2 linked regions of the Drosophila melanogaster genome follow. The protein of the gene in region 1 interacts with the protein of each later gene in a pairwise test. Each region holds a gene or a part of one and is shown in the gene's direction. Other genes may lie near its edges.

Evidence for each region. The genes of interacting proteins can lie anywhere in the genome.
Region 2: the proteins of CG14282 (region 1) and CG12519 interact in a two-hybrid assay, tested with the Drosophila melanogaster proteins (one large-scale study listed by BioGRID).

Annotation. Positions count from the first base shown.
Region 1 is NT_033777.3:19,174,536-19,180,063, forward strand, and holds CG14282 (uncharacterized protein), read left to right. Parts: upstream 1-2,464; 5' UTR 2,465-2,516; coding exon 2,517-3,398; 3' UTR 3,399-3,451; downstream 3,452-5,528. Other genes in the region: CG5555 (uncharacterized protein), read right to left, coding at 3,723-4,017, 4,084-4,875, 4,943-5,113, 5,176-5,524.
Region 2 is NT_037436.4:19,469,648-19,474,903, forward strand, and holds CG12519 (uncharacterized protein), read left to right. Parts: upstream 1-2,843; 5' UTR 2,844-2,895; coding exon 2,896-2,907; intron 2,908-2,962; coding exon 2,963-3,346; 3' UTR 3,347-3,498; downstream 3,499-5,256. Other genes in the region: 825-Oak, read right to left, coding at 2,082-2,459, 2,519-2,530.

The DNA of each region.
Region 1 (5,528 bases):
CAAGATTTTAAGATCCTTTTCACCAAAACGAAGAAAAAAACTTGTCACGCAGGATATCGTTATTCAAAATAGGAGTGAAAAAAAAGGCGGCAAAAAAGCTGAACTCTGTCCAATTATAAACGACTTTTTTCGGTAGTCAAGCATAAAAAATTTCGGAAACTGAACAAAAAAATGGGTTAAAAAACTGATGCGCCCAATACAATAGGGGCTGCATGGGATGAGCATGCATTCTGATGATTTTTTTCTTCCCGTCCTTTTGGGTGCGGACTCAAAAAAAAAAAAAAAAAACCGTCCAAAAAAGTATGCAACGGGCGGCATTTGGTTACCTAATTTGAATATTTGGCGCTGGAAATTTTCTCACGATTTTTTGTGTTCTCCCTGCCAGGTTACCCACAAGGCTGAAAGACACGCTGCGTTCAGGGTGACGATCAAGGATGAAGGACTCGCACAAAGACGCAGACGCCAGAAGACAAGGAGCTGAAAAAAATCCGGCTTTTTTTGCCTCATTTCCATGCGGAAGCGTTTCCTTGCCGAGGCATCAAGGGTGCCAGGACAAAAGGACGGCAAGGATGCCTTAATTTATGCACAACACGTTCGCGGATCGGACGCCGCCAGTTGTCCTCAAAGGGTTGAAGCGCTGATCCTGTCCCAGGACATAGCTCCGCATTTGCATACGTGATCGAGGAGAAGGAGAAGGGTGCGTCTCGCAGGACGGGAGGGTCAAACATCATTTTTCATTTATCCTCCGCAAAAAAAGTAGAGGTAGAAACGAAAAAAATCGTTGTGCTTTCGAATAGAAAAATACGTAAATTATTTAAATACATTTTTTTCACGCCATTTTTCAGAGTCCTGCGCATTAGGAAGTCGAGCTGCGAGCTCTAAACAATCATCAGCATCCTTAGAGAACTGGGTCACTTTTCTATGCAAATGGGAAGAGGATAAGGAGGAGGGACCCACCCCGAGATCCGCGCTGCCATCCTGGCACATCCTTTTGATCGGTCGTCCTTTTCTTCACATCTGTGGTCCTTCGGTTATTTGTTTATCTCTCCTTTGCATACTCGGGCTTTGCATCCGCCCATTTGAAACGCCTTGGGCGAGTTTCTCAGTCAATATTTGCTCATTAGTCGCGTTCTATAATTCTAATTATTATAATTATTCCCCCCAATGGAAAATGAAAAATTGATCAAGCAGCTGCTTAAACCTAAAAGGGTTCGAAAACCTTTCGATTCATAAAGCATACAAATAGTTAAATGCATTTTTATTTTGCATTTTAAGACCAACTACTATACCAGTGGTTAAGTAATGATCTGATGTAAGCTAAAAATGACTGTTCCATTGTGCAACAGTTTAGTTGCGTTATGCATCAAATTTAAAACCCGTCGAAAATTCCATGCTCATCGCCGAAAATCAATCAAATTATACCCTTCACGGGTTAAACACAATAATATCCATGAAATTCTTAAAGAAACCGAAAAAATTATGCAAAATTTATTCAAACGCTGAAATCAAAATTTCGCAAGCTTCAATCATTGTTTTGTGTTTGTTGGGTTTTATTGGCGGCAAATTAATTAAGTTACTTAATTACAGGTACAAGACGGTCAAAGGTCGATTCCCGCTTACCTTTCGCAAGTTCTCCTCATCCGAAAACAGGTTGACTTGTGCCAAAACTTAATTTTCGAAAGCTTTTCGATTGTCCATTAGTGGGAGTTTTGCAAGTAGTTCCTTTCGGTATTCGCCAACGAGCATACCCTGTACGAAAATATAGTATCTACTTATATAACTGATACACACTAATCCTAGAGGGTATCAATAAATGCAGCATACCCTACCTTTCGTTTAGATAAATTTGCGTTAGAAGAGACATAATGATTGATCGTGTGCCAATTGTAGACGAACCAAAAGTGGAACCGTTTTTTAGAGAAATGGGAAGGGAGGGGCGGGGATTGTTGGGGGAGACCATTAGGAATTTTTTTTTATTTTTGCTGCCTTTTGTTCACTGCCAAATAAATTTCATTTTTATTTGCCTTCTTTATTTGTTTTTGTTGCTGTCGGTACGCAATTTAAGTGAATATTCGGTTTCTAGTCAAACCGGTTCGTATTGGACAGACTTTTTGGGAATTTGTAATTCAGCGTACTGATATATCTTATGTATGTATATTTGTAGATAAGAACCAATCAATTTGGCAGCGAGTAAGTAATTTTACATTTTATGCTGGACTTTTATTTCGCAAGAAAACTGTTATTCGGTTATTTAACTATATTCAAGCAAAGAAACAATCTAACAAAGAATTAAGATTCTGCTAAGCCAAGGCTTATAAATGCAATACAAAAATATTTAAATTAGCCCATATTGTAATATTTCAATACTGTATTAAGTTAAAGGGATTCTTTTCGTAGAATCCCAGTAAACTGATAGAAAATTCTACTAAAGATCAAAAGTAAAGATTCACACTGAAATATATATGCTACATACATCTATTTGTTGTGAAAATATTCTACCCAATTAATCCTTAAAAATGTTGGCCGGCTGCCCCGATGAGCTGCCCAATCCGCACAAGAACTGCCTGCACGAGATGCTCCAGGCGTTGATCTGCAACGACAACGATGTGAAGCGCTTGAACACGGAGCTAAGGAATCTGAATCTAGAGCTAAAGGCGGAGCTGGCCAAGATTAACAAGGCGAACCAGAAGTGCGGGCACGAGAAGAAGGGCAAGGTAGTTTGCGAGAGCACCGAGGATGTGACGAAATTCGCCCAGCGGATCAATAGCCTGGAAGAGGTGACAGCGCACTTCACCCAGCGTAGTGAGGAGATTCGAAAGAGGCGGGACAACATCATCATCTATGCCCGCCAGTGCCTGTATGCCTACAACGAGGAGAAGTGCAAGTTCAAGTCGTTCCACGAGAACACGGTGGACTACATAAAGCGGACGGCGACACTCTCCCAGGATGCGGAGGTTATCCGGGCATGCGGAAAGGAGGTGTGCGAGCTGCATAAGCGCTTCGTGCGTGAGGTGGCCAAGCTGAAGAGCTGCGAGGCGGAGCTGCTGCCCTTTTTCAAACTGCTCAAGGATTCCGATCCGAAGACCTACTGCGAGTGCTGCTGTTTCAAGGGATACGACTGGATGCCCAAGAGCAAGAATCTGGAGGCCGTGGATGCAATGGCTGGCGAGATCAAGGAACAGATGGGCGACGTACTGGTCAGGGCCTTCGCTCAACTGCACATTCATTCGCCGCAGGATCCACGCGCCTTTATTGCCGCCTATCTGATGAATCTTGATCGTAACGAGCAGGAAATGAAGGAGAAGCTCGTGATTTTCCAAGCAGATCCAGCAGTGCAACCCCAGGAGCTTTCGGATCCCACATTCAATTGCGAGGATATTTGTCCGAAGCCTGAATGATATCATTATTAATCCACGATTGTATTCGAATAATAACTTTAAATTGGCGAGCTAAGTACACAGAATTTATTGCCACCAGCGGAAAAATTTAAATGAAAAGCGGCTTTCTTCAAACATTTTATTAATTCAAAATAAACACGCAATACATTTTGGGACATATGGTTTTCTACGTAGTAGTAGTTATATTTAATCCTTAGGTTTTCGTTATACAAAGGAAATCACATATAGAGCTGTTATAAACCTTATATACTCGGTTTGCATAGCCATCTAAGATCGGGTAAACAATGCAGCTTGGATATAAAGACGGCGTACGGTGGCTATGATTTATTTCTTGCGACGATTACGGCGCCGGGTGTTGGGATCCGGTTCCTTCTCTGCAATGCCTGTAACGGTGCCACCCGCTATCTCGGTGTTGGCCAACTTTTGCTGATTGTCCAAAAAGAACATAATGTCGCGAAGCTGTTCCTTTAATTCGGTCACCTCGGCGTCGTGGGTTTGCTTGAACTCGTTGTACTGCTGTTCCAAGAGTTTGTATTTGCCGTGCCAGGAGCTCTGGTTGCTCTGCAGTGCCTTGGACAACTCACGCTCTTCGTTCAGCTGCTTCTGTACATCCTTTAGCCTACAAGAGCACGAAATTGGTTAATATTTGGTTAATTAGGAAAGGCGATGTGAATGTATTTCTTACTTAGCTGTATGCTGGGCCAACTTGCGCTCCAAATTGACCTTTTCTTTCTGCATGTTCTGCTGAAGCTGTTGAAGCTCGGAAACCTCTGTCTTGGCGTCGTTGGCAGTCGCCTTGTGGTTCTGCCACTCCTGCTCCAATCGTTCCATGCGCTCCTCATAGTACTTGCGCTGTGTGTCCAGCTGAGAGGTCAACAGGTATGTGAACTCCATCTGCATGGAGTCAATCTTTTCCTCGCGCTCATCTTTCTCGGTTTGCGATGCCACCAGCTTGCCGTCGGATTTGTTTTGAAATAAGCGATGCACAAAGTTGTCACCGGCATAGTCCCATACGCTTGAGGTGCCCAACTGCATGGCAAAGGTGTGATTTGTGGCCCGGAAGTGTGCAGCAGCATGTCCTCCCTGGTAGCGTCCGCAGCCCACATGTCCGCAGATCAGGCAGATCCATAAGGAATCGGTGCCCTCGCATTCCATGCACACGGAATCTTCGACCAGTCCAGGAGTTTGAACATGGCGGCACACCGGACAGGTGGAGTCACCCCATTTCATCAGGCAGCTGGCGTGGAAGGCGTGATTGCACAATATGGTCAACACTCCATCCACGCTCTCGTCCATGCGCTCCAGGCACACTGGACAGGTGGGTAGCTCGGTGTGTCCCATTGGTGGTGCTCCATGCTCGCTCCTTTCCACCTCTGATACCCAGACCGCGTGGCACAGCGAGTCCGGTTCCAGTGAGTTGTAAGTACTGCCATTATAGGACTTGTAGAACTCCAAAGCGGATTCATTCGAGCGGAATCTATAAGAGTGTGATTATATTAGTAAATATCCGTGAATCTGTAATGTCAGATTGGAACGCCGCTTACTCCAAAAGCACCATGAACTGATTGGGGCTGCCGTCACGTACAATCTGGATGTGTTTAATCTCTGCATGACAGGGGGCAATAAAGTTCAGCAGATCGTGGCAGTTAAGAGTGGCCGGCACGGCCAGCAGGCAGAGTTGGTTAGATGGAGCTTCCTTGATGGCCTTGCGTTCGCTGAAACATACAGAAATAATGGTGAGTGAAATATTTAGTAGGATAGAGCAGAGTTAACCCACTTTTTCTTGTAGAGATGGATAAGACCTTTGGTCACCTCGACGATGGGATTGCCGGAGAAGTACCCTATCTCTTGGGGAAAGTTGGAGGCGCTGGCTCCCGCCTGGCCATCATCGCCGCTCCGAGGAGTTATCTCCCGGGAGCTGCCCGCCGAGGGGCTGTTCACATGCTGCACGGCGGCTACCCAGTTCATCTCCTGCTGTCTGGGTTCACTCAATTCCCGCTTCCAACGCTGGTTTGTGTACGTTTCGATGGTGATGTCGCGGGATTGGCGAAGTCCGCGGTCGCGTTCCCGCTCCTTGAGCACTCGGGGATTGGTTGGATGTTCGGCGGACACAGCTCCCTCAGAATCTGT
Region 2 (5,256 bases), on another chromosome or scaffold:
GCCTCTACTAAAACTGTTTACCTTATCTCTGGAATCTTCACAATTCCCCCATATATGGAAGGAGTCCTTTGTGATTCCTCTTCATAAAAAAGGTAGCAAACTGAATGCAAGCAATTACAGAGGAATCTCTAAATTGTCGGCTATCCCAAGACTGTTTGAAAATGTTATCACTCCTCATTTGCAGCACTTTTGTATTGTAGATCAATCATACCATCGCGTCAGCACGGTTTTATGAAACGCAGATCAGCAACCACTAACCTCTTGGAGCTAACTTCTTTCGTAATACAGGGTTTCAAAAATAATCTTCAAACCGATATCATCTACCCTGACTTTAGTAAAGCTTTTGACTCTGTTAATCATCACCTTCTAATAAGAAAACTTGATCTTTTAGGTTTCCCTGTTGATCTTCTAAACTGGATTTCAAGCTATCTGAATGGCCGGTCGCTACAAGTCCTCTTTAAAAATTCTTTATCTTGTAATCTCCGAGTCACATCCGGTGTCCCAAAGGGAGCCATCTTGGTCCGCTTCTTTGTACCTTATTCATTAACGACCTCCCCTTAATAATAAAACATTCGCGTGTACTTATGTACACAGACGATTTTAAATAATGCCTCCATCACAAGGACAATTCGCGCCATTTGGACTTAAAATCCGATCTAGATCGATTTCAAATATGGTGTCGTGATGACGTGTTAGACGTAAATGGCTCCAAGTGTAAAGTTATGACCTTTTGTCGTGCCAACCCAATACGCATGACATACACTCTAAGTGGGTGCTCCTTGGACAGAATAACACGAGTTGATGATCTTGGTGTTCTTCTGGACCCAAAATAAAATTTTCTGACCATATTTCGACTATTGTCAATAAGACCAGGGGTGTGCTTGGTTTTATAAAAAGGTGGTCTAAGGAATTTGATGATCCTTACTTGACTAAAACCTTATTTATTTCGTTAATCCGTCCGATTCTCGAGTGGGGATCACTCCTGTTTGGAGTCCACAATACGCAGTCCACTCGGATCGCATTGAATCGGTCCAAAAAAAATTCTTACTTTTTGCCTTGCGGCGCCTAAATTGGGATGCAAACCGTATATGAACTCCTTATTCTAGTAGACTACTTTTAATTAATAACCGTAGAACTATGCTTGGAACAGTCTTTATTTGTAAGCTTATTCGTGGGGATGTTGAGAGTCCCGACTTGATTAGTCGGCTTAACTGCTCGGTTCCAAGTAGATTCACTAGAAACTATATACCCCTTATCTTAAATCATTGTAGATCTAACTATGAGTTGCATGACCCTTACAGAGTTTTATGTTCTGACTATAATAGACTTTATCCTATTATCTGTAATCTTGACTCTCTGCCGCTCTTAAAGCAATCGATTTTAACTTTTATATTACATAATTAGATCCTACTAACACTAATATTTAATATAGTTATTTTACATTTTATTTATTTCCTCGTTCCTGTTCTCTTTTTTATATCGGTGTGGCCGTGGGACCCGTGCGAAAAACTCGAGATGTTTATACGAAAGGACAGACCTACCGGACAGAAATTATGGCTGGACCGTATCGGCTAGGGATCCTGATCAAGAATATTTGTACCTTATAAATTCAAAATCGCTTTCTTCTACCACTCCTGGATATACCAAAAGAAAATTCTATAGTCCAGCACAGCTCAAGCTAATAAATTAAAACGAATCTAAGCCATTTTCTAAAAAAGATTTGCTTGGACTCTGGACGTTTTTTAACGTTTCGATATATATTTGTAAGACAAGTGATAATATAATTATACCCGTTACTCGTTGAAAAGTATGTAACAGGCATTCAGGATCAATAGATGAGTCGATCTAGCCATGTCCATCTGTTTGTATTAACGTCGAGATCTCACGAACTATAAAAGCAAGTTTGTTGGTCCATGTATTGGCCACGCCCACAAACCGCTCAAAACAGACTTATTCTACAAGTATCGGGTTTTTTGCAAAGCCAAAGATCTAGTACTTCAGCAATTTTGTGAGGTCATAAAATCGATATAAGCGTTCCTTTTTATTATATTTATCGTCCTAGATAATCACAGCATAAAAATTTAGATGAGAAATGGTGCAGGAGCAGCAGCGTAGCTCAGTGGTGCGGAGTAAGCCAAAGGCGAGGAGTAGGCCAGTCGTGCAGCCAGAGGAGTAGCCGCGTACTTCGCCACCACAGGAGCAGCCAGAGGAGTAGCCGCGTACTTCGCCACCACAGGAGCAGCCAGAGGAGCAGCAACGGGAGCAATCACAGGAGCAGCGGCGATTCCATTGTAATTCCTGGCGATGACCTGGCTACTGGTTGCGGTCACAACTGGAGCGGGAGCAGCTACCACGGCAGCAGGAGCAGAGTAAGCCAGAGGAGCAGTGTAAGCAAGGGGAGCACCCAGGAGTCCAGGCTTGGCAGCAGCGCAGGCAACGAGAGCGAGAACGACGACAGCCTGTGAACAAATTAACTTGATTAGTTTAATCCTTTGGGTGTCCTTTCTGAAGAACGTACGTATTTGAACATGGTGAAATATTTGTTTGGTTTGCTTCTTCGGAAGGCTAGAAACTCTTTGATATCCCACTGCTCTTCGTGGAGCATATTTATACCCGAATGTTTGCTCAGATCTGACTCATGATCGCACTCATTCAGTTCATTTAAATGCGGTGACAGTCTCCCGTTACCATTTACCATTTGCACTGTGCCGTAGTTTATGTGATTTCCCACTGCTGACTGCAGAATGTGGAATAACTCTTGGTGGCCACGGAATGCGATGGCCTGAGGTCACAGACGCAGTCCCGATGCGGCGTATAAATAGTGGTATGGAATGTGTTGGACGACATCAGACAAGTTCAAGTTTTCGAACCGTAAGCACCAGATCCATAATCATAATGTTCAAATCCGTAAGTTTGGAATCTTAGCTTCCTGCCATATTTACTCATCGCATTTTATTGACAGGCCGTTGTTATTCTGGCTATCGTTGCCTGCGCTGCTGCCAAGCCTGGACTTCTGGGTGCTCCCCTTGCTTACACTGCTCCTCTGGCTTACTCTGCTCCTCTGGCTTACTCAGCTCCTGCTGCCGTGGTAGCTGCTCCCGCTCCAGTTGTGACCGCCACCAGTAGCCAGGTTATCGCCAGGAACTACAATGGAATCGCCGCTGCTCCTGTGATTGCTCCCGTTGCCGCTCCTGTGGTGGCCAAGTACGCTGCTGCTCCATTGGCTGCTCCTGTGGTGGCGAAGTACGCGGCTACTCCTCTAGCTGCACCACTGGCCTACTCCTCGCCTTTGGCTTACTCCGCACCACTGAGCTACGCCGTTCCATCTGCACCGCTCCTTATCTAAATTACTAATCTGTGATCACATCGGAGACAACGATAATAAATGGAGATATAATAAGACGTTATTCTATTGTTTATTCTTTTTTAAGCACGCTTCAAATTAATATATATTTCAATACAAAATTGGCTCTGAAGTTCAGAGTCTGAACGTACACGAAGATGATTTCTCGATAATTTCCCAGCATTTATGAACAATTATTCCGAGAATGCACTCTAGCGCCACCTGATACATTTCTTAATCACAGCCCTATTATCTGTTGTGTCTAAATTAACTGCAAAATTTTAAATTATTGCAGTGATTCAGAAAATATTGGTGTTTTTCTAAATGATTACCGAAATACTCGAGTTGCTTCTACGTTTCTAGAATCTCCCTGCTGAATTTTAACTTTTAAGCTCAAATCGCTTTCGATATCACCGAATTTAAAGGACACACAGCGTGTAAACAATGTGAGAGTGGGCGTTTAATCTTCAAATTACCTTGCGCTGCGCCTCCTCCTCTAAAATCTGAATGCCCAATCCAAACTGTGTAGCTTAAATGGTTCCCAAGATCCCGCCGTCCATCCCAACTGTCCGAAGACCAATATACATTCTGGTGACTTTCAAGTGGCGAACATGGACAAATCAACTCGACTGGTGATCCTGATCAGAAATATTTTTCAATTGTGTAACGATTTCGTAAACCTCGGGTGAAAATGTTCGAAATCGGTTATGTGCGGTGGTCATGTCCCGGATCCTCAGCCTAGTTTCATTCCTAGTCAGAGGCAAACAATTAGAGACTTCAAAAAATAAAAATATATTTAAATACTAATCAAATTTCACACAGCTATCTCGAGTTTTTACTTAACATAAATGATAGATTATTGATTGATAGAAAATAAGTTAGAGACCAATTTGGTCGCGAACCTTACTTTGACGCTTTTAATTATTTCTTGCTAGCTGCTGAATTCGATCGACTTGGAATTTCGAACCCCACGTATGAGGCTCTGGCCTCAGTGTCCCCTTATTTAGGGTGGAGAAATACTACGACTTCCAAATCCAATGAAACTTTAACTGCATCCGCTTCCAATTAGTTATACAATATCAAGCGCCGATTCTGCATAATGTTTAAATCCCTTCACTTTCTTTACACTCGTATACCCTCTTCTCATTCTGCGCCAGACAAGAAGTTGAACTTTCTCCGTTCTTCCGAATTCCATACGCGCCGTCCAATATTTTTCCTAGCCACATACATTGTTGCCACAACTGTTTTCTTGGACCGCCGCAAATGGAAAAGACCCATCTTGGCACTCGGATCCTGGTCGAACCACCTCTCTACAGGTGCCCACGCTATTCTCCTGAAATTGACAACCAGCTCTGTTGCCTCTTTCAGTCCAAAATGCCTGACCCGAAGAATTCTTCTTGTGTTCCGATTATAGTTTTAGAAACCAGACACAGATGGCGGCCCAAAACCTTCTATCCCCCTAGAAGGCACTGTCACCAACTTTAGCTGCCTCAAGCGCTACAAATCTGGGGTCGGAAACTATTCCTTCTACCTTTCACCCACTTTTCCTTGAATATAGTACATATACCGATTTTACTCTGGGGCAATAACATATATTTAACATATATTTAAAACATATATTCCGCAATCGCAATAAAAACCTTTTTAAAGACACGGATATTCTGTAAATAGGCAACCAAACGCAAATTGGGCCATCGGTTCTAAGACAGGTTGATTGTGCCAAATCTGTGGCTCATATCGGTCACAGGTCAGCTTTGACCTTGACATAATTGCCAAGGTCTGTACTCAAAGCCGAAAAATAAAATAAACCTATAATACAAATCAATTTCGCACAATTTAATGTAACAAACATTGGACAGCAGCAACTGCCGCTGAGCTGACAATAATTTTTATGACCATTACGTGACCTGCGT